7 linked regions of the Cricetulus griseus genome follow. The protein of the gene in region 3 interacts with the protein of the main gene of each other region in a pairwise test. Links are inferred from orthologs where the notes say so. Each region holds a gene or a part of one and is shown on either strand. Other genes may lie near its edges. The genes, in order: Usp13, Pdhb, Trim63, Myoz1, Gmeb1, Tnni2 and Pkm.

Region 1 (3,500 bases), on a different chromosome or scaffold from region 3:
TTGAAAGACATCATCAAAGAAGTGAAGACATAGAACAGAAAAATATCTCTGCAAATTATGTGTCTGACAACACTTAGGAGGCAGAGGCAGGTGGATCTCTGTGAATTTGAGGCCACCTTGGTCTACAGAGCGAGTGACAGGATAGGCTCCAAAGCTACACAGAGAAACCTGTCTTGAAAAACCAAAAAAGAAAAAAAAAATGTGTCTGAGAGGAAACCTGTATCTAAAATTTAAAAAGAACTCTTAGAACTTAACAATAAAAGGCAAAGAACTAATTATACCCACAGTGTTATTAGTCAGTAGGGAAATACCTCTTGAAATCACAGTGACCACCATGGTACACCCAGAAGCCACTATAACAAAACTGCTAATGGTGAGAATTCAGAGAAATTGAATCCTTCATTCATCATGGGTAAGAGTATGAAATGGTTCAGCCACTGGGTAAAATTGACAATTTTTAAAAAGTTAAATATAGAACTACATCAATTCTGCTCAAGAGAAACAAAATCATAAATCTATATATGCACAAAAGTTTATGTTTACAGCCCCATTAATAAACACCAAAGAGCAGAAAAAACCCAAATGACTGTCATCCTCTGATAAAAGGGCAGACTGTGGTATGGCTATACATGGAACACTACATGGCCATAAAAGGGAAGTGCTGTTCATGCTACAGCATAAGACCCCTAAATACATTATGAAAAGCGGTAGAAACCTGACACAAAAGGCCTCATGTTGTACAATTCCATTCATATGAATTATCAAAAATAGGCAAATTCATAACAATTGTAGGGTACCCAGAAAGTAGATTAGTGAAGATTAAGCACTGGAGAGAGTAAGAACATGGGAGAGGCAGTGTCTTAATTAGGGTTTCTATTGCTATGAAGAGACACCATGACCTCAGCAACTCTTATAAAGAGAACATTTAATTGGGGTGGCTTGCTTATAGTTCCAGGGATTCGGTCCATTATCATCATGGTGGAACATGGAGGCAATCAGGCAGACACAGTACCAGAACTGAAAGTGCTGTATCTTACAGGCAACAGAAGTAGACTGAGCCACTGGGCAGCTTCCTGAGCATAGGAAACCTCAGAGCCCACCCAGATAGTGACATACTTCCACCAACAAAGCCACACCTTCTAATAGTGCCACTCCCTATGAGATTATGGGGGCCAATTACAATCAAACCACCAAGATACCTCCTATCTAGCATTTCTTTTGTTATACAAAAATATTCTAGAATTAGACAGTTGCTTAATTGTAAAGTGACTAAAATCCATGTGAATGTACACTTCTGATAGGTGGATATATAAATGACATCTTCAGAAAGTAGACAAAAGAAGAAGCTGAGGAAAGGGCCTCCATTTCTTCAGTTTTCTATTTCAAGCTTAAAATAAACACCACATCTTTCTAATGATCTTTTGGTCAACGAAGTGTGGACACCTTTAAGGAGGAAGTTATTCCAAGAAAGCTGTTGTTTAAGAGATTAAGATTGTGACTTTGCCCAAACAGTAGCATGTTACCATCTGAAAACTCATCTTTGGGGACACATCCTTGGGGACATGAACTCCAAAGTACTCCCATATGGCCACCTACCAGGTTCCTCCATGTGCACGATAATCCAGTTGAAGGCCACCTCAGCTCCAGTGTTTCCAGTGAAGTACACAGCCTTCCGGCAGGCTTCCAAAGGAAAGCCCATCTCAGCCAGCTGCATCACGGAGGATTCATCAATGTCTGAGGCTACAGAGCACAGCAGGATATCCCACCATGAAAAACAGAATTTTCCACTTCCTCCTGTCTTCATTACTCTTCAACCCCTTATCTAATCTACAGACTACCTGAAGACAGATCCATTTTGTTGGGTCTTAATTTGACTTCTTTTTATGTCATCTAACTATTGAGCTATTCATGAGAAAAAAAATGGTATTATTACCTCAGTTTACAAATGAGGTAATTGAGGCCTATAGAATAAGAAACAAATTGTTCCAGGCCACACAGTCCTAAGCAGCAAAACCCCACAGGACTGCAAGCTTTCAAGCCTACACTAATCCTCCTGAGCAATAAGGGATACTTAAGCAGCATTTCATTGGTCTACATTTGTTGCTTACTCAACTTACAGACAGTTCCACCCAGGAACAACCACATATATCCAGGACAGAACAATGCTACTTTGCTGAACTACTACTTAAAAAAAAAAAAAAAAGTTACACTATGAGCTGAAGAGATGGCTCAGAAGTTAAGAGCACTTACTACTCTTCCAGAGGCCCCAGGTTTTTTCTGTTCCTAGCACTCATATGGTGGCTCACAACCCTCTCTAACCCTAGTTTCAGGGAATCTGACACCCTTTTCTGGCCTCTGTGGGCATCAGGCATTCACATGGTACACAGACATGCACACAGGCAAGACACCCATATGTATAAATAAAAATGAACAAATCTTTAAAACATATCATACTAGCAACAACTGTAAGACACCAAAAAACACTTTTAAAGATACCTACGGTCTATCAACTGGTTCATCAGGCGATCTGGAAATGAAAGAACAGATGATAAATAAGAGCTAGCCACCACCAATAGTTTTAGAAAAAAGAAACTGCATCAGTCCAGGATATTCCCAGACCCTCTCACTCCTGGTTACCCCACACACACTACCTGCAAAACAGTTCATTAATTACAGTAATGAGGGGAAACAGCAGATTTTGGGCAAATAAAACAAGAAGTTTTGACATCTCAGTGAGATAAATAATTTCAATCCTTGCATTTATTTCCAAGAGCAAGGTTTCTGGCCTGGACATGATTTATAGGGGAAGTATGAAAAGCCATCCTGGCTTCCCTACTGCTCACCACTACCTGTCTGTAAGCCCTTTCAGGAGCCTCTGCCACCAGGGCCCAAATCAATGACTCATAGTGTATGAGTCTGAAGTATACAGTTGCAGCCATGCTTCATTCCTATGTGTCTAGGTCAAAGACAGGGAGCAGTTTAATGGTGAAACAGTAACTCCTCCTGGCTGGAAGAGGGTGGTAAGGAAAGAGTATCCTTCCAGTAGGAAATGGTACCTTTTGAGTCATCAGGAATGACTATAGGGGGACTGATGTCTGGAAGCTCCTCTTCTCCTGGCTGTAAGCCCCTGGCTCTAAGATGGCTGATATCTAGTAGGTCTGGCATATCAATAGAAACATCTGCAAAACAAAAGATTATATTCACTGGACTCTCTAGAGCCCAAATCAGCTCATTATAAATCTGCATGTGTTCACTGCATGCATGTATCTTGGCAGCCTAAGGGACACAGAGCACAGCAGATTTGTCAAGCCACATGAAAGTTAATGGAGGGCTCAGGGAAAGGGCAGAGAGTGGTGGGACAAAGGCATCACACTGGACAGCAATAGGTCAGATAAGCCAGTGTTCACAGACTAGCAACCAGGCTATCTGTGGTCTGGACTCATTCCATTTTGTGTTTCTTAAAATATGGACATGATTTAAATTTAAAATTTAGACTTCTG
Region 2 (4,072 bases), on a different chromosome or scaffold from region 3:
GAATACAGAAAATAAAGACCACATCCAAGCAGCTATTCCCAAATGTCTATCTCTAGCCCTACCAAGTCTTTAGGCTTCAGACTTCTCCCATTTGGGTATTGAGAGAAAGAAAGAAAAAGGACACGACTGCTCCTAGGTATGGTGAATAACGTTTATTATGGATATGTGGGAGAGCATAGCCAGAGGCAGAGACACCTGGGAGAGTTCAGAGTGGACGTGACCAGGCTGAGCTGAGCCATGTGAGGAGAGGAGGGGAAATGGGAGCCAGGTGTTTCAGTAAGGTAAAAAAGGGCCGGTAATCAAAATGTCTGGATTATATAGGAAAGAGCCTCTGGGGGTTAGGGCACCTCAGACCTTGGGCTGGAAAGTTCAGGGTACAGGGTAGGGTATGCCAGACATACAAGTCATTCCAAGGAACTGAAGGATGCTGGGAGGACCTGGCAGCCAGGCCCACTTTGATATGTTAAATAGGCGAACCACGGGCCGTTTGTCTCACATTTGAGTCGTAGGTTTGCCATCTAAATTCAGCATGATCAGAACAATTTCCTCACATCTTCATGCCTAAGTGCAGATAAAAATAACAGCAACCACCTACAATCACTTATGAAGTACACATCACAATGCTTGGCACACAGTGGACGCAAGGCTTACATGAAAGCTATTGTTTATAGTCAATGGACCGCGCCCATCCATACAAAGGCGAGGGCTCTCCTCCCAGATGTCTCAGCCTCTGGTTATGCTCTCCCATATATCTGTATAATAAACTTTCTCCTTCACCGTACCGAGGAGCCGTCATGTCCATGCCTTTCCTTTTTATTTAGTTCTCCTCCACGGGACTGTGGGCAAGAGCCACCCACGCGGTACTCAAGGCCCGCAGTGTCTGCGGAGGGGTGGCCTTAAGGCCCCTCCATCCTCGGTCAGGCCTCATTGCCAGTCTCAGCACCTGGGCGGGCAGGCAGGCAGCAGCCAGGGGCGTGTGCACCGCGTGCTAGCAGCTGCAGCCGGCTGTCTGCTAAACGTTCTCGGGTGCGTGCGCCGGGTCAGAAAAGATCAGCTGCTCCACGCCACCTCCGCCGGCTCCCGCCTGCCCAGGTGGGCGGGACTCGCACACGTCGCCCCCTCTCGTTGGCCACGCTCGCAGAGGCCTTTGCTAGCCCGAGGGGCGGGACCCTTTGGCATTGCGCCTTGCTATTGGCTTGCTCAGGAGGGCCGGGCCCTCAGTCGTCACTCTCCATTGGCTTCGGCTGACGGGTTAGGGCGGGCCCTGAGCTCGCCACGCCCCACCGTTGGTTGCGCCAGGCCCGGTCTGCGGAGCTTCTGTGTTGTCATTAGGCCGCCAGTAGAGGACACGGGCAAGATGGCGACGCTGGCCGGCGTGCTGCGGGGACCCTGGCGGCAGGTAGGTGGCGGCCCCCGCACGCCCGCGGCAGGCCCCGGGCCCTCCCTGAACCTCTTTCTCTCTCCCGGCCAGGTGTCTGGACTTGTGAAGCGGCGTTTTCACCGCTCGGCGCCCGCGGCACTGCAGGTAACCGTCTCCGACCCTGAGCAAGGCCGGGAGGGAGTCCTCGGTCCTGGGCGCGGGCGGGAGGTGGAAGGGTGGCGTCGCCGACCCTGGCAGCGGCTGAGCCCTGCGAATGAACCGCACTTTGTGTCCCCGCCCGGCGCCTCTCAAGCTGACACCCGTCCCCCGCGAGGCCGGAGGTCGTCTAACAAGCAGCCAGCGCTTTCCCTGACCCCCCCCCCACACACACACACACATACACCCGAAGTTGTGGTAAAAATACAACTTTAAAACCTTTGGTTAAGCCGGGCGTTGGTGGCGTATGCCTTTAACCCCAGTTCTCGGGAGGCAGAGGCAGGTGGATCTCTGTGAGTTCGAGACCAGCCTGATCTACAAGAGCTAGTTCCAGGACAGGCTCCAAAACAATACAGGGAAAACCTGTCTCGAAAAACCGAAAAAGAAAAAAAACAAAAACAAAAACAACAACAAAAAGAAAAAACCTTAGGTTAAAATGTCAAGTTCAGCGGCATCGACTGCGGTCGTCATATACACTGTCCATTTCTTAGTAGTTTTTTTGATTACCGGCTGTTACACGATAACTCACACTACTCTGCTATTCTAGACCATTTTGTATTTTTCTTGCTCAGGAAGGCCGGACCCTTAGTCCTTAGTTTGCTGGCTCTAGAATGTTATATGAGTTGGATCGTTTGCTCTTTTGTGTCTGGCTTATTTAACTTCTCACAGTAGCTTCAAGGTTCATCCATATTGTGAAATTCATACATCAGAATTTGTTCCTTTGAGAGGTTGAGTCATAGCCTTTGCACATCGTATACATTTATTCAAGGATGAGTATTTGGCTTGTTCCCACCTTTTGGGTTTGTAATGGTGCTGAGAACATCGGCTGCAGATACATGCTTGAGTCCCTGCTTTCAGTTCTTTGGCATAAGTATATTTAGAAGTGGAGGACTTAACCTTTCTACATATTAAAGCAGCAGCTCCTGCATTGTGGATGTCAAGTGTTGGGCACTAGTGAGTGCTTAATGCTTAGACTTAGATTTCCTTGCTAGTTCTCTGCCTCTTAGTATTCCAAGTGTAGTGACAGAAACAACTTAGCATGTTTTCTCCTTAGGAAACTGCCTGTGACACAGTTTAGGGTTCCATCAGTGTGTTGTTGTTGCCTGGGTGTGCATCAAATGGTACAACCAGTGTTCTGTAAGTTTTCATTAACATCTAGTGAAGGATTAGTGGTAGAGTGTTACTTTTTAAGTTCTTGGAAGTTTAATTTGACTTTTTTGTTGTTGTTTGTTTTCGAGACAGGGTTTCTCTTTGTAGCTTTGGCTCCTATCCTGGTAGTCGCTCTGGAGACGAGGCTGGCCTCGAACTCACATAGATCCGCCTGACTCTGCCTCCCGAGTGCTGGGATTAAAGGCGTGCGCCACCAACGCCTGGCTTGGAATTTTAATTTGTATGATACGCATTTATCTATGCACTTGAGGTCAACTTCCAGGGAATCAGTTTCCTCCTTCCATAATGTGTGACTGGGATCAAACTCATCAGACTTGGCCATCTTGCCTCCTCAGATTCTTGGAACTTTAAAGGGAATTGCCTGCTTGAGTGTTAATTATGTTTTGTCTTGTGGGCAGCCTAGGTAAGTATAAGGAAGGGAATTTCCATAGTATCTAAATAATCCTTTAGCTTATTTCCTGTTTATATACCCCTATGCCAGTTGACAGTTCGAGAAGCTATTAATCAAGGTATGGATGAAGAACTAGAAAGAGATGAAAAGGTATTTCTGCTTGGTGAAGAAGTTGCCCAGTATGATGGTGCATATAAGGTAACTGAAATAGGTAAACTTGATATAGAATTAAAAAGTACCCATTTGCCCTGATAAGCACTTGTAAGTCATGGGGTTAAATTCTAATTGTAGGTTAGCAGAGGCCTATGGAAAAAATACGGTGACAAGAGGATCATAGATACTCCCATATCAGAGGTACGCTTTCCAGACCAGCTTTGAGAATCGAGTTGAGTATTCAGTTTTAATTTCTGTGGATGTTTTCTTACGTTGCTGTTTGCTTTACAGATGGGCTTTGCTGGAATTGCTGTTGGTGCAGCTATGGTATGTACTATTATTTATGAAGGTCATCTAAGGAGATTTCCTTTAATACTATCTTCTGAAAATGTTGTTTGAGCTGGACATGGTGGCACTCACCTTTAACCTAACCCCAGCACTTGGGAAGCAGAGGATAGCCAGGACTACATAGAGAAATCCTGTTTTAAAAAACCAACAAAAAAAAAAAAAAGAAAAAGAAAGAAAATATTGTTTGTAATACTGGAAAAGTGGAGTGGTTATTCAGCACTCTTGCTTGTTCTGTTTAGTCTTTTTAACATTGATGTTTCTACTTGACAGGCTGGGTTGCGGCCTATCTGTGAATTTATGACCTTCAACTTCTCTATGCAAGCCATTGACCAGGTTATAAACTCAGCTGCTAAGACTTACTACATGTCTGCTGGCCTCCAGCCTGTGCCCATAGTATTCAGGGGGCCCAATGGTGCCTCAGCAGGTGTAGCTGC
Region 3 (3,500 bases):
TGGTGGCTCAAAACCACATGTAACTCCAGTTCTGGGGGATCCAACTCCCTCTTCTGGCCTCCTCAGGCACTCACACACATGGCAAAACACCTGGCTGGGCTGTGGTGGTGCACGCCTTTAATCTCAGCGCTGAGGAGGCAGAGGCAGGTAGATCTCTGAGTCCCAGGCTGGCCTACAGGGCAAGTTCCAGGACAGGCTCCAAAGCTACAGAGAAACACTGTCTTGAAAAACCAAAACCAACAACAACAACAAAACCACCCATATACATTAAAAAATAATAATAAATGAAGAAGTGTGGAATCCCATTTCATTCCTGATCTACCGAATCAGAACCTGAGTTTCCACAGGCTCCAGGGTCAAGTGAACTTTTAAAGGTCCAGGAACCTTGCTCTGCAGCAAAATGATTGATGCTAGAGACATTCAGGGAGTTGGTGGGTCCCTGCAGTCAGGGACCAATTGGGTCTGGCTTGACCTTGGGCAGGGTCTGACATAACTGCTATGTTCATGAACTATTTGCCAAGTGAGTGGGGGAATGGCTGTGCCCTTTTTCTGCCATCTATATTGGACACCCAAGGCCCTAAACCCCAACCTAAACTCACAACTTAGGCCTTTCCCAGAGACCAGCTGCACTTGAGGTGTCCACTCTGCCTCAGCGCTGACAGGGCCACTCAGCACCCTCACCTTTGTCACTCGGCAGGAGTCCTCCAGCTGAGAAATGATAGTCTGCACTCGGTCATTCCCTGCCACCAGCATGGAGATGCAGTTACTCAGTTCAGTCTGAATGGGAGGGGTGAGAGAGGAGAGACAGAAATAGATTCAGAGCCGGCTGCTTCTCTGACAGAGTCACCAATAGGGTTGCTATCCCTCCTTCTGGGGTGCAGTTAAGGTCTAAAGTAGAGACTAATACAGATGCTATATCCTTTATGGACGGATGAGACCCAGAGAGAGAAACTGAGCACCCCAGAACACACAGCAAGATACTGACAAAGGAACAGAAGAAAACTTTCTTCTTCTTCTTCTTCTTCTTCTTCTTCTTCTTCTTCTTCTTCTTCTTCTTCTTCTTCTTCTTCTTTTCTGAGCTGGGGTCTTACTATGCTGGCCCAGAACTTACTATGTAGACCAGGTTGGCCTCAAATTCATAGAGATCCACCTGCCTCTGCCTCATGAGTGCTATGCTTAAAGGCCTGTGCTGTCTGTCATACCCCCTGGCTGCTAATTTCTGAGAAAAGGAATAGGATTGGAAAGTTCTAGAAGACAAAAGTCCAAGAGCCAAGTGGCATGTGGAGAACAGAGTTCAGGAAGGGCTACAGCTTACTACAGACACCATGCTGGGGTTGCCAGGGGCCCAGGGAAGAACCTCGACTTTGCCTTGTGCTACATGAGAGGCCCAAGTGGAGAGGTATGGGACCCCAGAGTACACAGGAGGGGAAGCCATGGCCTGGAAGGGCCTGGTGGCCTGTCCCTGGGGTCTGGCCTCTTCCCTATGGCCACACCCAGGTGTTCTCAAGTAGCTCTAAGTATAACCCATGAGCTCAGCCACCTCCCCCAGGGAGGCAACGGCTGCTGTCCCTGTGGCCTGGGAAGTCCCTCCAGAGGGACTATTCCTGAAAGGCCGGCTCAGCACATCCACAAGGGTCAAATCCATCTGGGCACAGTGTTTGTAGTCAATACCTTCTGTCCCTGGAAGATGTTTTGCAGCGGGGCTACCTCACAGGCCTGGTGGGCCCCGAACACCTTGCACAGGGAGCAAGTAGGCACCTCACACGTGAGGCAGTAGATGTTGATTTTCTCATCCTCGTGCTCCTTGCACATCGGGTGGCTGCCTTTCTGCAGGGGCCGACTGAGGGGGAGAAGAACCACAAGTTAGGGATGTCCCCTCTAACTGTCCCTTGCTAAATCCAAGAACAGGAAGCCACCACATCCACATGCCAGTTCCCAGTGTGTACCTGCTCCAAACAGTCTTTGTTTTATCTTCTGGGAGCCCAAGATCAGGGAGGCTAATGACACCAAACCTGGCTAATGACACCTAAACTCAGACTCCAGCATTAGGGCTGGCCTGAGTTGGTACAGGGAGCCCGGGGAGGGCCCCGGAATTCTAGAGTCAGACCAGAAGATGCTGACCTTAAGGAAGAGGCAACAGAGTCCCAGAAAATGAACAGACTTGCCCAAGGTCGCCCAGCACAGAGGCAGAGGAGGTTAGAACGCCTTTGCTCTAATTATAGCCCCATAGCTCTTGGTTGCTGGGCCTGGGCAACTTATTTTGATGGCAACCCTTATGTCTATATTTAATCTATCAGACCATAGCCTTCAACTAGGCTGGGAAGCCTGCTTGTTTTTCTCCCCTGCGTCTATAACGTACAGTACCTGGCGTGGAGACCGTGGAAATGAAATGCAAGGAGGAAGAATACACGAGTAAACACATCCTGAGGGTGTCCGAGGGTTAGGAGAAGGGGACAGTATGTACACCCTAAGCCAGACAAACAGCACATGGTTGGGGGCAGGGCTGTGTAGCAGCCCCGTGCAAAGCTTGACCTCATGGGGCCCATATATATCTAATATATATATATATATATATATATATATATATATTTCAAGACAGGGTTTCTTTGTAGCTTTGGAGCCTATCCTGGAACTAGCTCTTGTAGACCAGACTGTTCTCAAACTCACAGAGATCCTCCTGCTTCTGCCTCCCGAGTGCTGGGACTAAAGGAGTGAGCCACCACTGCCCGTCTTCTTTTTTATTTTTAAAAATGCCTTTATTGACTATGCGTGTATGCTGGGGTAAATGTTTGCACCACGTCACACGATGGAGGTCCGAGGACAGCTTGAAGGAGTTTGTTCTCTCCTTCTACCATATGGGTCCTGAGGGTAGAACTCGGGTTGACGGCTTGGCGGCAAGCACCTTTACCCACTGAGCCATCTTGCTGGCCTAAGTGTTTCTTCCTGCTGTCCTAGGACCTTTCTCCCTTTATTGCTTTTTCTGCTTAGGGTGCCTGGCATGCTCCTCTCTAGCATCAGTCTTTCCCAGCATCTACTCGGGTTTTAGTCAAGGTTTTACCTCCCAAGTGAGACAGAACTTGGCTCCATTCAGGGTAAGCAGCCATGTCTACACTACCTCTGATGCCAGCCCCTAACATGTAAGCATCTCCTAAACCTCAAACTGACTGTCCCCATCAGTATCAATGTCTCACCTCCCAGCAGCCCTGCATGGCTGTAGCACCCCAGACTTCACTGCCCCCTCCAGGAGCCCCTATCCAGGCTGGTTTTTGGTTTTGGCTTTGTTTTCATCTTTGAGCTCAGGGACCTCATACTGAGGTGGCTGTGATGGTGGGGGTTTCCCCGGTGCCACCTGCTGCTCTGCCCCAGGGTGTAAAACAAGATGGAGCAGACCTGCTGTTGAAACTCCCTCCCTCCCTGGCGGTCAGGTATCGGGGTCAAACACTTGCTTGATTTGTGTGATCTTACTCTTCAAGCCTCAGTGTCTCTCAGAGCTGTCCCAA
Region 4 (4,102 bases), on a different chromosome or scaffold from region 3:
CTTGGCCATATCCATGTAGGCATCTATTTCCACTGTCCCAGCCACCCAGAGGAGGTGGAGGAGGAAGAGAGGAAATGGAACTGGTCCCCTCCTCCTTGGCTGTAACGTCCTGTGCCTGACCTCTCTCCCATCCTCCTCCTCTTTCTTTGGAGAAGCCTGCCTGGAACATATGTTGTCTTAGAGAAAGAGGGTTTAGTTCCCTGTTAGGCACCCTTAAAGAAGAGACTGAACCTTAAAAAAAGATTTATTCAAAAGGAAGATGGCTATAGAAACTTATTAGACTCTCCTAACATTGCCAGATTTAACAAACAAAATTACACACTACTACTTACATTTTATGTTCAGGTATAGAACAATATTTTTAGTATAAATATGCCCTAAGTATTTAATGGGACAAGTTTACATTAAGAAAGTATTTGTTATGTATTTAAATTTAAAATGTAACACACCCAGCACTCAGAAGACAGAAGCAAGCAGAGCTCTGTGAGTTCGAGGCCACTGGTCTACAAAGCAAGTGCCAGGACAGGCTCCAAAGCTACACAGAGAAACCCTGTCTCGAAAAACAAAACAAACAAAAATGTATTATTCAAATCTTATATTGTTTTTTGTTTTTGTTTTTGTTTTTTTGGTTTTTTTGTTTGTTTTTTTGGGTTTTTTTTTTTTTTTTTCCAGACAGGGTTTCTCTGTGTAGCTTTGGAGCCTATCCTGGCACTCGCTCTGGAGACCAGGCTGGCCTCGGACTCACAGAGATCTGCCTTCCTCTGCCTCCCAAGTGCTGGGATTAAAAGCCGTCACCAACGCCAGGCTTCTTATATTGTATGTCTAAAATGTTACATGTTACAGGCAACATATTTACAGAAAAAAGAAAAAAAGACAGGTGTTCGCTGTAAAAACTTAGCCAACTCATAAGCAATCTTCCTCAGCCTCCTCAGTGGTCCAGCTCATTGTGTAGACTTGGAGGTCAAATGTAACTGGATACTCTGTTTGACCTTTGGTGTCTCAATGTCTTGATGTCTTCATTGGGAGCAATGGAAATGAAACCTAGGGTTCCATGCATTCTAAGCACCTGCTCTGCCACTCAACTATACAGTCAGCCCCGAGATTCTGTAGTTTTTGATGCTTGTTTTATTTTTATGTCCCAATATTACAAAGAACATACTTCACTAAAAGAAAATATTCATTGTGTATCTTAACTTCAAAATACAGGACGGGTGTCCCGTGTTTTATCTGGCAACCCTATTTTAACACTTACCCACACTGGGAAGGAATTTTCCTCTGGGTGTGGTACTCCTCAGCCTGCACTGGCTCTAAGATGAGGACTAAGATTCAGAAATGGGCTGCAACCCACCCTAGAGCTGCTGGGAATGTAATACATGTACGGGACTTAATGAACTTATCATTTCTCATGGAGAGGAAGTGGGTGGTATTTGGGGAACTTAGGGCCCGCTGAGAGGCTGTCAGAAAAGGCACTGGGCTGTGAGAGAGTTGGTCACATCCATACTCACCATTGAGCTGTCAGAGAAAACATCCGGGTGGTTCTCATAGATAAATTTCTCCACCCTCATCTGCCGCAGCTTGAACATCTTGGAGCCTCGGTTGGTAAGTAATGACAGCTCCTCCAACATCACATCCCTTGGGACACTGATCTTCTTGCCCAGGTTCAGGCCTGAGTTCTCCCGTCCACCTTGTCCAGGAGGTGGAGAAGGGGCGATAGAGGAAATTAAGGCTTTCTGGACTCAGAGAAGAACCTCCACCCATAGCTGAGTGTATAGTCAAAGAGATCATTTAGAGGCAAAATTCTGTGATCTGACCAAGTTCTGCCTAGTTTATGAGAGGTTTTTGTCTCATTTGTGTATCTTTTAAATATTTTAAGAGAGAGAGGGGGGGTCCAGGGTTTCACTATGTAACCCAGAGTGGCCCAGAATTCACTGTTAGACCAGGTTGGCATTGAACTCACAAATCAGCCTGCCTCTGCCCCCTGATCACTGGGATTAAAGGCATAGGCCATCATCACACTCCATGAGAAGTCTTGATTTCCTGGTTTGGAGTTAGAGAGAATACACAGGAACAAGGGTTCAGGGCATATACAGTCGGAGTACTAGAGTAGAGAAGTAAACAGGGCTACAAAGAATATGGGCTTGGAGTGGAAGAGAACAAGTGTAAGGGAATATTGTAGACAGAGGTCACTGGAGAAATTATAGCTTGGGAGGAAGCTGATAGTCCAATATCATGTGCAGTTGCCCCTCTCTAAATACAGATCCTTATTTTTTTTCTTTTTGATTCAGTGAACTCTGGCTCCAGAAGTATCAGGAGAACTTCACACCTGGTAACTCGTTTACATCCCTGGGGAGTATGCCTGCCCAGTTTCCTATTTTAAATGCTTACACAAGTTCTCTAGCACTTAGAAAGAAATAAGGAAGTTAACCATTTGGTGAGGTCTAGCTTGTGTCCTGTGGCCCTGGGCCTGGCTGAGTAGTGTAGCTGGGTGCTGTCTCAGAATAACCAGTGGCAAGGGTGGAGGATGCAGAGTAAATGTGGAATTCTTCCTGCTTCTCTCTCCTTGCCCTTCTTACCCCTCCCATCACTTCTGTCTCCCACACCTTCCGTGGCTGGAATTCCTCCTGTATTTTCACTCTGACTTATATCCAGTCTTATGTAATTTCTGGGACTCCCGAGTCATGGGTGCTCTTAAAAGTCAGGCACTAGGGAGCTACAAGCATGCCCTACCTCCGGTGAGCTCCATGATCAGTTTGCTGGGTTTCCTCCTCTTGTTAGGGGCCGGGGTTCCCGAGAGCGGCATGATGGAAATGGACTTGACCTGGAAGGAGTGGGAAGCAGGCTTGAAGAAGAATCTTCTTTTTCTTAATTTTTTTTTTTTTTTGAGACAGGGTTTCTCTGTGTAGCCCTGACTGTCCTGTGTCCTGGAACTGGCTGTGTAGACCAGGCTAGCCTCAAACTCAAGAGATCCTCAAACCAAGCTCCTACCCTCCTTGCCCAATCTGCCTCTGCCTCCCAAGTTGGCATGTGCCACCACCTCGAAGCTTCAGTACTCCTTAACTTGGGGTTAAGAACAAAGTTTCTTCGGAGTGTGTGTGTGTGTGTGTGTGTGTGTGTGTGTGTGTGTGTGTGTGTGTGTGTGTGTTTCTCCAGTGCTGAGGATTGAATTCAAGGCTTCATTATGCCACGCAGGTTCTCTACCACTAAGGTATGCCATCCAACTCTCAGGTTTTCACAGAAGTGTGTATTCCTCCCAAATGGTAAAACTCCGCTGTCTTAGGACTTGTTTTCTTTGGAATCAGAACAGGAGGCAGAGCTGCCCCCTTTTCCCTACCTCTTACCATCCTCCAGTGCCCATTTTCCATAGATCCTGTGGGGGGGGAGGCGAGAGCTGTTTCAAAGACAACAACCCTGGCAGGGCAGTGCACCCAGGTTTCTTGGCCTGGCATGATTTAAAGCGATTATTTGTATTGGGGTATCAGCCTACAGCTATGGCTCCAGACTCTGGTCTCCTCCTCAGGCTTCCCTCAAGGTCCAAGGGGTAAAGAAATGCTCTGCTGGTGTTAAGGAGATTCAGCCAAGACAGTCTCCATAGGAAGGAGAGGTTGTTGTTCTGCCAGGAGGCCAACTGGAACTTGGCCTGAGAGGTCATGGGTGTGTTCCTTGTTCCTTCAGGCACTCCTATCCCAAGCTGCAGAGCTGGGGTGGAGAGTGAACTGAGGGCATCTGAGCACTGACAGATGTCAGTTCAGCGATATCATATATAACAGTAGAGAATTGTGAGGGGACAGAAACATAGTAATAAGATTTGGCTGTGGATGGCGACAAGCTAGGGAAAAACATGAACTTCAATTTGTCCTTAACGCTCATGCAGTTTTCTGTGGAGTCTTGTCTCAGAAGTACAGATACACTCTACCAACCTCCCAGGGTCTCAGCCCCCCCTTCCCATTCCTCGGGTACCTCCCCACCCATCTTAATTCCACCCAACTCCTTAGGTCCATTTGTTTCCAACTCTGTGGCTCCAACTGGACAGCTGAGAGCTGGGCAGAGATGAGGAGAGAGGCCACTCCCCTAGGATGAAGGATCACAATCACAGACAAAGAGG
Region 5 (3,500 bases), about 2.0 Mb from region 3:
CCACCACTGAGAAATCCTGCCCAATGGAAGCAGCCACTTGTCTGTGTTATTTTCCACACAGGATTTCTTTATGTAGAGTAGACTGGTCATGTAGTCCAGCTTTACCTTAAACATAGATCCTCCTGCCTCTGCCTCCTATGTGCTGGGATTAAAGGTGCCACCACACCTGGTTGGACACTTCTAATTCTTGACCTTAAAATTTTTGTTTTTTAGGGGGCTGGAAAGATGGCTCAGCTATTAAGACTGACTGATCTTCCAGAGGACCTGGGTTCAATTCCCAGCACCCACATGGTAGCTCACAACTGTCTGTGACTCCAGTTCCAGGAAACCTGGCAGCCATGACAAAACACCAATGCACATAATATAAAAAATAAATAAATGCTTTGCCTACATGCATGTCTGTGTACTATGTACACATCTGATTTCTGTGAAGGCTACAAGAGGGTGTTGGATTCCCCTGGAACTAGAATTACAGAGCATTGAGAGCCACCATGTGGGTGCTGGAAACTGAACCCAGAACCTCTGGTAGGACAGCCAGCACTCCTAACAGCTGAGTCATCTCTCCAGCCCCATGCTTTACATTTAAATTTTCAGCAAGGGAACATTCAAGGCATACTAACTAATGCATTCAAGAGGGAAAACCACAATGGTAAACTTGTTGGAGGAAAATAAATGTCGTGGTAGGGGCTATCCCATAGGCTGACATCTGTTTCTGTTAGACAGTGATGCAAAGACTGCAAACACTATGCCTGGCATTTCTCAGCAGTGGTCTTCTACTGTCAGTCATGGCTATTGCACTTACTCAGCACCCAGCTTTGCTTTCTTGATGTAAGGATGACAGGGAGGACTATCAGCAACTTGGAGCTTCTAAGCCAAGAAAGGATCCTGTTTAAACTCCTGACATCAGCACCCTAAGCCAGGCATGCTGGTGTCAGCCTTGGCTACACAGCAAGTTGTGGGCTAAATGGAACTAAAAGAGACTCACAAAACTAAAAAGAAAAATGAAAAATCTAAATTAGATGCTGGAGAGAGTTAATTAGTTGATTTAATAGTTAGAGGTTACAGTGTATAATTCAGTGGTAGACTGCTTACGTAGCACGCACAAAGCCCTGGATTCCATCCCTAGTATCACAAAGCAAAAAAAAAAAAAAAAAAAAGATTAAGGACAGGTCAATGAAGGTCAAATAGTGTGGGAGATTCTACCCTGACTAAGCGCTTCACTGAGATGCTTGTGATTGTCACTGGCACTTACCTGAGCATGATGCCACCTAGACGAATGGCTCTCTTCCAGTCCTTCAGAGTGGACTTGCCAGCCAGATGAACAAAATGCTTGGGGCTGATCAATTGATCATTGAACTAAAGCAAAAAAGAAAAATCCAAATTGGTCCAGTGTCAACTTAGGTAGGTCAGCAAGGGAAGAATGAAATAATGCCACTTGCTATACACAAAACCCCAGACACTATTACAAGCCCTATCAGTGTCACCCAACCCCGTCCTATGGTACCAAACATTATCCCTCTCTGAGTGCCTGTCCTTTCCTAGGACAGAGTTATAGAGGACGAGGGTGAGAGATAAACATGCTACATAGCATCTACACATCCATTTATACTCTGATCCATTATATTCTGAAGTGGGGGCTGGGTCTAGTGTTCCAGGGACTGGTCAAGTAACTGAAGAATTCTAGTGTTAAAGACAGATGCGCATGGAGATAACTCAACTTTAAAAGTGCTAATTGTGCAAGACTACAGACTGACTTCAATCCCAGAAATCACCTAAAAAAGGACAATCTGTGAACTGCATCTGTAGTTCCAGCACTCTTTTTTTTTTTTTTTCTTTTCAAGACAGGGTTTCTCCGTGTAGCTTTGGAGACTGTCCTAGAACTAACTCTATAGATCAGGCCGGCCTCAAACTCACAGAGATCCAGCTGTCTCTGCCTCCTGAGTGCTGGGACTAAAGTGTGCACCAGGACCACCCATCGAGGAGATTCTTTTTTTTTTTTTTTTTAAACTTGAGACAGGGTCTCACTGTGTAGCTCTGACCAGGCCGGCCTTGAACTCACTCTGCTTGCCTCTGCCTCCCAAGTGCTAGTATTAAAGGTGTGTACCACTATGCCTGGTTCTCATGAGATTTCTTATTTGCTTGTGTTTGTTTGTTTGTTTTTTGGGGGGCAGGGTTTCACCACATAGCCCTGGCTGATCTAAGACTCCTTGTGTGTAGACCAGATTGGCCCTGAATTCACAGAGATTCACCTGCCTCTGCTTTCAAGTTCTGTCATTAAAGGCATAAATCACCATACCTTTTGGGTATTATGAGACAGGGTCTCACACTGTATCACCTCTTGGCCTCAAACTTAAATCAATCCTATTGCCTCCATTCTGGGATTACAGGCATGACCTACTACACCCTACTTATTCTTATCATCAACAATTCTGAATAAAGCCTATTATGATGCATACCAGTTCAACGCATGTTACATATATGATCTCATTCAATACATCATAGTACATGTGCTGTATAAATGTGTGTGTACATTTACATGTATGCGTATCAGTGGGAATGTTACTATTTTAATACATAAGGCTCCAATTTTTTTTTTTTTTTTTTCTGAGACAGGGTTTCTTTGTGTAGCCCCAGCTGTCCTGGAACTTACTTCATAGACCAGGTGGGCCTCAAATTTAGAGATCTGCCTGTCTTTGCTAGGATTAAAGGGCTGAGGTTAATGGTATATACCACAATGGCCAGCAAGGCTCTGAAATATTACTAAATAACTTGCTCAAAATCACATGGCTAGACAGAGGTAGAGAAGGGTTCTAGCCATTTATTCATTTACTTGTTGCAAGTAACTATCAAACACTATTATACAAACAGTACCATACAGGGACAACCCTTGTCATGCACAAGGCCCTGCCCCCACCACCAAGGCATCATATAATGTCCCAGGTTTATCTTGGTGAAAACAGACAATGCTCTCTTGCACATGCTCCTTTGGAAGTAGAGCCAGGCTCATTTTATTTCAAAATCCTTACTTTCTACTGTGACAGCATAAGACAACAGCTGTGGGGACAGCAAAATGGCTCAGTAGATAAAGGTATCTGCTGCCTATTGGAAGTGGCAAGCCCTGAGTGAGTGAAGTCCTAAGGGAATGTCTACTTTTGTTGTTTCAAGACAGGGTCTCACTATGTAGCCCTGGCCGTTCTGGAACTAGACCAGGCTGGCCTTGTCTCTGCCTGTCAAGCCTTGGAATTAAAGGTATGCACCACTATGCCTGGCTGGGGATATGTATTTTGACATGGGTACAGCCATGCGGAGAAAGACCAAAGCCTCAGACCATGGGGCATTTGGCAAAACCTTTACTCATACTGCCCAGGCTCACAAATCCAAGTACAAGTGCTTATGAATAACTAACTGATCAGTGTGAGCACAGACTAGAAATTGCAGCTTCCTCCTCCCAGATGTTTACAACTCAGACACCTACTACCAAGATTACCTAACCTGTCTCT
Region 6 (4,234 bases), on a different chromosome or scaffold from region 3:
GTGGCAAGAAGGGACTACCTGCACTTCAGACATGGAGCCTGGGATATGCAGAGGTGGGCAGTGCTCTGACAGGTAGTTCTGTTTCTCAGATTCACGGCGGCTTTCCTCTTTTTCCAGTTCTGTGGCCGCAATCTGGAGCATCACACTCTGAGAAGCAGAATGGTGAGAGTAAGGGTCTGCAGTGACTCCCACCCCCACCTCTGTACCCCCAGCTCTCTGCAGCAGCCCATCCCTACCTTCAGGTGCTGTCTCCGGGCTGTGATGGCCCTGTTGCGTTTCTGAACAGGACAGGGCAGGACAGAGAGGACAGAGTCAGGCCTTGGCTAGAACACTGACCTCCTTGAAGCCCCATCTGACAACAGGGCTCCCAAAGAGGCTTCAGGGCCACTGCCCAGGACCCTGTTATTTTTCCCCAGTCCAGAGCCTGCTTCAGGGACTCATGCCTGTGGTCCTGACACTTCGCTTAGGTGGCACATAAGCTTGAAGGGGGTAATGGGGTTTGGGAATGGGGAGGGGTGTGGCCAGAGCTTAGAGGCTGTGGGCAAGGGGAGGCCTGGGAGGTGAATGGTGAACAGAAATCAGAAAGGAGAAGTGATTCCATTGTGATTGAGCCTGAGTCTCACTTCCCTCTCACTGGGCACCAGGCAGGCACTTCCTTTCTCTCTGGGGTAGCTCAGGGGGCGGGGCACTTGAGGACCTTGACAGGTGTGTCTTCTGACTTAGTCTCAGGGAACCATTATAGCCTGAATGGTACTCACCTCCTCACTGTCCCAGGAGAAAGAGGGAGGCGGGAGGGGGAGAGAAAAGAGAAGTTAGGTTGTGGCTCATGGGAGTAGCCATGGAACCTTGGGGTAGGTGGGGTTGAAGGGGTAGGTGTTAGCCACGGAAGGTAGGGGGATATGGGACCCGAGCCCTGGTGAGGGGACTGCAGTGTGTGTGGGGGTGTCACACTGGGTACCACTTACTCCCCCATCCTGAGTTCTCGAGCTCTGAGCCTGTGGGGAGAGAGCGGGGAAGACGTCAGTGTCCGTCTTGCATGAGGCCAGGCATGGAGACCTGTGCTCACTCACTAGTCCAATTCTGCTCTACCCTCAACTCAGACCTTCTCAAAGGGCAAGGATTTAGAGGACATCCCCCACCCCCACCCTGAGGGTGAGAAGTAAGAGGAGAAAGTGTTCCCAAAATGTCCCAGGCGGGGCCTGAGGAGCTGCAGCTGTCCCCGAGGGAGGGGTGGGGCTGGCCAGCACAGGTGGCTGCCAGGGTGAGCCTGTTATTTTTAACTCTTGCTTCTTTGGCTGGAGAAGTAGATACATGGAAGAAAGAGCTCTCCTGTGTGGCCTGGGGGCTCAGGTCCCCGCTTGCTTGACCTGAACGTTCTCTTGCTTGTGTGTCCCCAGAGTCAGTGCCTGTCATCAGAGGCCCACTGAAGACCCCTGTCCCATCCTACCAGCACCTGTTGCTTTTTTATCCCAGATCTGTGGGAACCCCCAGAGAGAGCTGTTGGCAGCAGACCCCAGACCCCCAAGTCCCTGCCCAGGGAAGTCCTCCTGCGAGCTAGCCTGAGTAGTGCCCTATTCTCCAGCTTCAAGAAGATGGGCCAGGCCTCACCTAGAGTCTGTGCAGCAGGGCTGGGAGCGAGGTCAGGCAGGCAGCAGTAAGCTGGGCTGGTGGGCCAGGGGGAGGGGTATAAATGGATTTCCCTGGGCCGGGCCCCTGCTCAGAAAGGGCATGGAGTCTCCTCAGACCAATGGGGGCACAGAGAGGAGGAGAGCCTCCCCACCTGCCCAGCCTGCTGGCCAGCCAGCCCAGGCGCTGGCCTGTCCAAGAAGTCTTGGGGTGGGGGTGGGGGTTGGTTTGCTCTATTTATGTCTCAGTGACCAGTTCAAGATGCCACCTTGTTCCTGCAAGAACCCTCAGGACAGCAAGAGTCACACTGCATGTGGGTCTCCAGGGTACCCACCCGGTTCAAGCATCCATTGAAGTCTTCCTCCAAGGGAAACTTGACCTAACAAGTGGACTAAACTGGAGTCACTGTCAAATGGCCTTGTAACTCAGCACCTATCTGGTCACTCACTCCATGTTTGGGCTCCTGGGCTGACTGTTCACCACTTCAGTCCTCCTGCAAAATTGGACCCATCCCCAAAAGCAAGCAAACAAAAACAAAACAACAAAACAGTCTCTCTGGCCCTGTGTCAAGGCTCAGGAGAGAGATGCCCACCCCTTGTAGTGAACTTGCCTTTCTGCTCAGGGAGAGGAACAAATAGGCCCCTGGACCAGTAGCTGGGCCTCTCCCAGCCTGCCACACACCCTGCCCACGGGTGTCTATCTCTCTGCACAGGCAACTTGGAACATGTCCTTCAACCCCAGAGAGTGGTGCCACCGCCCTAGAAACCTCTCTCTGACCTATGGGGGCTCAGGGCCCTTGGTTGCCTAGGCAGGCCCTGCATTGCCCCGCTCACTAGGGCCAGGCCCTCACCCCTTTCCCGCTCCTGAACCCCACCCAGAGACACCCAGATCATGGCTTGGCCCCAGCCCTGCTGCTCTGGGGCCCCTGAGGATCAGGGGAGGGTTGGAACTGCTAAAGCCGGCCAGATGTGCTGGGATTAAGAGGTATATCACAGGCCAGGACTGCGCGCCCCCAAAGGCCCCAGAGCAGCTTCCGAAGGCATCTACTGCCCCCTGCTGATAGCACAGAGGACACCCTATGTCTCCATACCTCATGATGTTGGGGTCTCTTCCCCACACTGTCCCTACCCACAACTCCCCCCACCAGTTGCCCACCTTGTCCCCACAGGGCCATCTCTAATCCCCTGCTCCTCTGCCAACCCTGGATGGCAGAGAGAGATGCCATCTTCCCCAGGAAGACCTAATAATCAGGCCTTAAGCAGAGGTTCAGTACTGGCAAATCTGTCCAGAGCACCCTACCTCACCCTTGAGAGGCCAGTGGTGCCAAGATGTAGCCCACCTTGTGCCTCAGGTCCTCCTCACAGGGCTCTATCAGGGCACATGAGTGGGAAAAAAAAGACCTTTATTTCAGAAAGCTTGGAAGAGCCTGGACAAATGCCCACAGCTCCATTTGGGGAAACTGAAGCCTACAGTTCTTTTAGGAGTGAGGCCTAGGTAGGGGCAGGTGAGGCTTCAGGGCCAGAGCACGGTCCACCTCCCTGGGGGACTGCAGGTGGTGCCACTGGGCGATAGGCCGTCTGGCATGGGCCAACATATCTGCCCAGTGCTGTAGAGGTTGTCCTGAAGCCCTGGGACCCAGCAAAACCTTGCCTATAGGCTCAGCCCGGTGATGCAGGCCATGGGCCCAGACAGCCAGCACCAGGTCCACACTCTGCAGACATAGAAGGGAAAAGGTTATCAGTTTGGCCCAGCACAACGTCCCAGGCCACTCCACCCTTCCTCCTGCTCCCCACCTGGAGCTGGCTAAAGGGAACCAGGAAAGTGAAGGCCTCGTTGAAGTAGGGCATAGTTGTGCCCTTCTTAGAGGATGTTTTCCTCTTCTTCCATTTTCTCTGGTTTAACATGAGCTGGACCTTCACATAGGGCTCTGCATGAACAAGAGAGGTCAAGAAAGGTGTCTGATACATGCGCATGGGAAGGTTGAGCACAAGGGCCCAGCCCTCTGACCACCCCAATATAGTTCTTACCTACAAGCCCTGGATTCAGGCCCCGAGCCTCCAGCACAACCACAGTCAGACGGCCTGAGCTGGGCACGTAGCGCAGTGAGAAGCACAGCTCCCCCATCTGCTCAAGCTATGGGTAACAAGGCATGGCCGCCGCTGGGAGGGTCATCTTTGCCCTTGGGGTTTTGGGCTCAGCAGTTACAGCACCCAGGCCTTGGCCACCCCCATGGCACAGGCAGGCCCCTGCCAGCCAGGCTCACCTCAGTGGTACCTGGAGGGCCCAGCAGGTACCAGCTCTCCAGGACATGAAGAGGGTCTACAGTGCTCAGGGATAGCTGAAGCTCCCCTAGTAGCTCGTGTTCTGAGAACCGCTTGAAGTCCAACAGTTGCACCTTCAGGGTAGCCCTGGGCAGCTCTGCTGGTGGGACCTGCAAGGCAGGGCCGTGAGCTGAGTCCCGCTGCTCTGGCCCTAGACCGCTCTACCTACACAGGTTAGACTTACCAGGAAGCAGCATGTCTCTTCAAACATGGGACAGAGAGTCCCACGATGCACTTTTGTCTCGTGTCTTCTCCCAGCCTGGGTGGAAACACTGATGCGGGCGTAG
Region 7 (2,392 bases), on a different chromosome or scaffold from region 3:
TTTCTCAGGCCTCCGTACATACCCCCACTGGATAGTTTTAGCTCTTAGCAGTGACCAGGAGCTAAGGAAGGTCCTACCTGCTCCTGTTGTACTTTATTCCAGAGAGGACCCTGAAATCCTGAGGATTTCAGGTGTCAAGTAGAGACATCCCACAGCACCCTAAAAGGCTATCTACTACAGGGGCCAGCCTACCAGCACCAGGGTCACCTAACTCCTTGAGTATAGGAACCATTGTAGGTCTAAGTTGGACTTTCTCTGGTCATTCATGCCTTTGCCTCAACAGAATAGTGTGCTTTCCAACACAGCCCAGGTGCTGGAAGAAGCGATTTATATATTCAGCCTATATATGTACCATTCAGCTGCTTTTCCAGTTGTCCTATGCCCTGCCGGTGACCTGGTGGAGTTATAGCACCCAAGGCCAGGCCCAGGCCCAAGGCTGTTCACCTGCTCAGAGGGCAGGGCTCAACCACTTCCCCCAGCAGAAAAGAACAGGACACAGGTGCTTCAGCTGCTGTTTATTGACATTCAGGTGGGCACTATAGCAACAGGCCTGGGGATGCTGCCGTCGAACAGAAGGTGGCGAGTGGAGTGTGTGTCTGCAGCCACAGCTGAGTGGAGTGCACAAGGAGGAGTGGGGGAGGCCAAAGCTGTTGGGGAAGCAAATCAGGCCCAGGGTCAAGGGTTATCTACACACAGGGACCTGGGCCCCATGTCCTAAGCCCCTACACTCTTGCTGTCTCCCAGGGCTGGGAGTTCTCTGGGCAACTTTCTACAGGAGCAAAACACACAGAGGTGTTGCTGCCCTTTTGTGATAAAGGCAGAGGGTTTACAATTCTGCATTCCTCCTTCATCCCTAGCTTGGGTAGGGCCATGAGAGACAGCTGGGCTCTAGTCCATGTTTCAAAGCCAGTAAATTTTCCCGGGTGTCCCAGCCCACCAGCGCCACAGTATGGCCCAGAGTGAGCACTACAAGCGTTGCTGGCCTAATGGATGGGATGGGGGAGGGGATGGGACAGGGGCTAGAAGAGGGGCTCCAGAGGGCCATCAAGGCACAGGCACGACACGCATGGTGTTGGTGTAGCCAGAGCCAGGGCGCCACCCAGTCAGTACAATGACCACATCCCCCGTCTTGAAGAAGCCTCGGGCCTTGCCTGAAAGAATAGAAAGGTTGTGAATAGAAGTAAACACTTGGGGTAACTGCCCCAAATTGAACAACCATTACTCTCTCCTACCACAAGGTGGCACTTCCCTCCTAGCCCAGAGGCCACCCAGGCATGGGCATTCCAGGGCAAATGCCCAAAGAGCTACCTACAATCCCATTGCCTATGATAAGGGGACCAGTCTGCCTGAACCAATTCTTCTTTCTACCACAAGGTGGTGCAAGCCTCCTAGACCAAACAATGGCTGAACTCAAGACTGTAGGGACCTTTGGAGATCACAGAGCCAGCGGCCTCCTCCCATCCCAATGTCCAACCTTATAGAGGAACAAAGGCTATAGCAGCAGTACATAATCTGTGTGTCCCACCTTAATTTTGCCTTGGGCCCCAAATTGGGAGGGTGTGGACAAAAAGGCTTAGCCCAAGTCTTCAGAGAATGACAGTTTCAGAATTCCCAGAAAAGCCATTGCTCAGCACCCCATCTTCTTGCTTCCAGCTACATACCAACATTCATGGCCAAATTCACACGGAGGTCTACATCCTCAGCCCAGGCATCCTGTACCGCATCCTTACACAGCACAGGGAAGATGCCACGGTACAGATGGGCCTGACGAGCTGTCTGGGGATTTCGAGTCACAGCAATGATGGGAGCACGTGGGCGGTACCTGGCCACCTGGTGAGCACTCCTGAGATGGGAAATAGGATAGACTATGAAACGTGTCACAAGACCCAGGAGACAGGAAGCACCTTCAGCAGGAGCTCACTAACACAAGTGAGGCACAGGCCTTGCCCACTGAGAGCTTACTCTGTTCCAAGGACTGGCCACCCCCCACATCCTGTCCTCTGTCCTTTCTTAACTGCTCCTTCAATAGGAGCAGCAGTCCCTCAGGGCCCATGGCTAGAATCCCTCCCATATCATGAACCCTTCCATGTAGCAGGGAGACAGCTTTGGCCAATCTCACCAGCATCCACAACTGCTAGCAACATTTACAACCAAGCAGCATACACCTAGCTCCTGGGAGCCAACAATATTAAGGACTGCAGTAGTATGCTGTTCCCATGGCAGTCCCAGAAGCCTAACTCTAGAGCCCAAAACACACTTGGTGCCACAAAATCCGGACAGTGACCAGGCATTATATAGCAATGCTTAGCCCATCTAGAACCTTTGGGAATGTAGTGACCCCCCCTTCTCAAAACTACCTGTGACAAGTGATAATGTCTACTTCTAGCAGGTG

What was found.
Region 1: the proteins of Trim63 (region 3) and Usp13 interact in a two-hybrid assay, tested with the Homo sapiens proteins (2 studies listed by BioGRID and IntAct). The link is inferred for Cricetulus griseus from reciprocal best matches to the Homo sapiens genes TRIM63 and USP13.
Region 2: the proteins of Trim63 (region 3) and Pdhb interact in a two-hybrid assay, tested with the Homo sapiens proteins (2 studies listed by BioGRID). The link is inferred for Cricetulus griseus from reciprocal best matches to the Homo sapiens genes TRIM63 and PDHB.
Region 4: the proteins of Trim63 (region 3) and Myoz1 interact in a two-hybrid assay, tested with the Homo sapiens proteins (2 studies listed by BioGRID and IntAct). The link is inferred for Cricetulus griseus from reciprocal best matches to the Homo sapiens genes TRIM63 and MYOZ1.
Region 5: the proteins of Trim63 (region 3) and Gmeb1 interact in a two-hybrid assay, tested with the Homo sapiens proteins (2 studies listed by BioGRID and IntAct). The link is inferred for Cricetulus griseus from reciprocal best matches to the Homo sapiens genes TRIM63 and GMEB1.
Region 6: the proteins of Trim63 (region 3) and Tnni2 interact in a two-hybrid assay, tested with the Homo sapiens proteins (2 studies listed by BioGRID and IntAct). The link is inferred for Cricetulus griseus from reciprocal best matches to the Homo sapiens genes TRIM63 and TNNI2.
Region 7: the proteins of Trim63 (region 3) and Pkm interact in a two-hybrid assay, tested with the Homo sapiens proteins (3 studies listed by BioGRID and IntAct). The link is inferred for Cricetulus griseus from reciprocal best matches to the Homo sapiens genes TRIM63 and PKM.

What each region holds. Positions count from the first base shown.
Region 1 is NW_023276806.1:116,475,463-116,478,962, forward strand, and holds part of Usp13 (ubiquitin carboxyl-terminal hydrolase 13), read right to left. Parts: intron 3,180-3,500; coding exon 3,057-3,179; intron 2,528-3,056; coding exon 2,501-2,527; intron 1,741-2,500; coding exon 1,597-1,740; intron 1-1,596. UniProt on the Homo sapiens protein: Deubiquitinase that mediates deubiquitination of target proteins such as BECN1, MITF, SKP2 and USP10 and is involved in various processes such as autophagy, endoplasmic reticulum-associated degradation (ERAD), cell cycle progression or DNA damage response.
Region 2 is NW_023276807.1:76,097,053-76,101,124, reverse strand, and holds the start of Pdhb (pyruvate dehydrogenase E1 component subunit beta, mitochondrial), read left to right. Parts: upstream 1-1,272; 5' UTR 1,273-1,357; coding exon 1,358-1,399; intron 1,400-1,471; coding exon 1,472-1,525; intron 1,526-3,227; coding exon 3,228-3,335; intron 3,336-3,428; coding exon 3,429-3,491; intron 3,492-3,581; coding exon 3,582-3,617; intron 3,618-3,908; coding exon 3,909-4,072. UniProt on the Homo sapiens protein: The pyruvate dehydrogenase complex catalyzes the overall conversion of pyruvate to acetyl-CoA and CO(2), and thereby links the glycolytic pathway to the tricarboxylic cycle.
Region 3 is NC_048595.1:18,970,593-18,974,092, forward strand, and holds part of Trim63 (E3 ubiquitin-protein ligase TRIM63), read right to left. Parts: intron 1,841-3,500; coding exon 1,672-1,840; intron 778-1,671; coding exon 682-777; intron 1-681. UniProt on the Homo sapiens protein: E3 ubiquitin ligase. Mediates the ubiquitination and subsequent proteasomal degradation of CKM, GMEB1 and HIBADH.
Region 4 is NW_023276807.1:200,330,513-200,334,614, reverse strand, and holds the start of Myoz1 (myozenin-1), read right to left. Parts: upstream 2,801-4,102; coding exon 2,728-2,800; intron 1,685-2,727; coding exon 1,506-1,684; intron 1-1,505. UniProt on the Homo sapiens protein: Myozenins may serve as intracellular binding proteins involved in linking Z-disk proteins such as alpha-actinin, gamma-filamin, TCAP/telethonin, LDB3/ZASP and localizing calcineurin signaling to the sarcomere.
Region 5 is NC_048595.1:21,003,194-21,006,693, reverse strand, and holds part of Gmeb1 (glucocorticoid modulatory element-binding protein 1), read right to left. Parts: intron 1,357-3,500; coding exon 1,253-1,356; intron 1-1,252. UniProt on the Homo sapiens protein: Trans-acting factor that binds to glucocorticoid modulatory elements (GME) present in the TAT (tyrosine aminotransferase) promoter and increases sensitivity to low concentrations of glucocorticoids. Also binds to the transferrin receptor promoter.
Region 6 is NC_048596.1:58,818,272-58,822,505, forward strand, and holds the start of Tnni2 (troponin I, fast skeletal muscle), read right to left. Parts: upstream 2,801-4,234; coding exon 2,782-2,800; intron 2,552-2,781; coding exon 2,460-2,551; intron 279-2,459; coding exon 237-278; intron 148-236; coding exon 19-147; intron 1-18. Other genes in the region: Syt8 (synaptotagmin-8), read right to left, coding at 3,104-3,337, 3,420-3,553, 3,654-3,759, 3,890-4,057, 4,132-4,234. UniProt on the Homo sapiens protein: Troponin I is the inhibitory subunit of troponin, the thin filament regulatory complex which confers calcium-sensitivity to striated muscle actomyosin ATPase activity.
Region 7 is NC_048597.1:171,224,136-171,226,527, reverse strand, and holds the end of Pkm (pyruvate kinase PKM), read right to left. Parts: intron 1,844-2,392; coding exon 1,662-1,843; intron 1,152-1,661; coding exon 1,045-1,151; 3' UTR 501-1,044; downstream 1-500. UniProt on the Homo sapiens protein: Catalyzes the final rate-limiting step of glycolysis by mediating the transfer of a phosphoryl group from phosphoenolpyruvate (PEP) to ADP, generating ATP.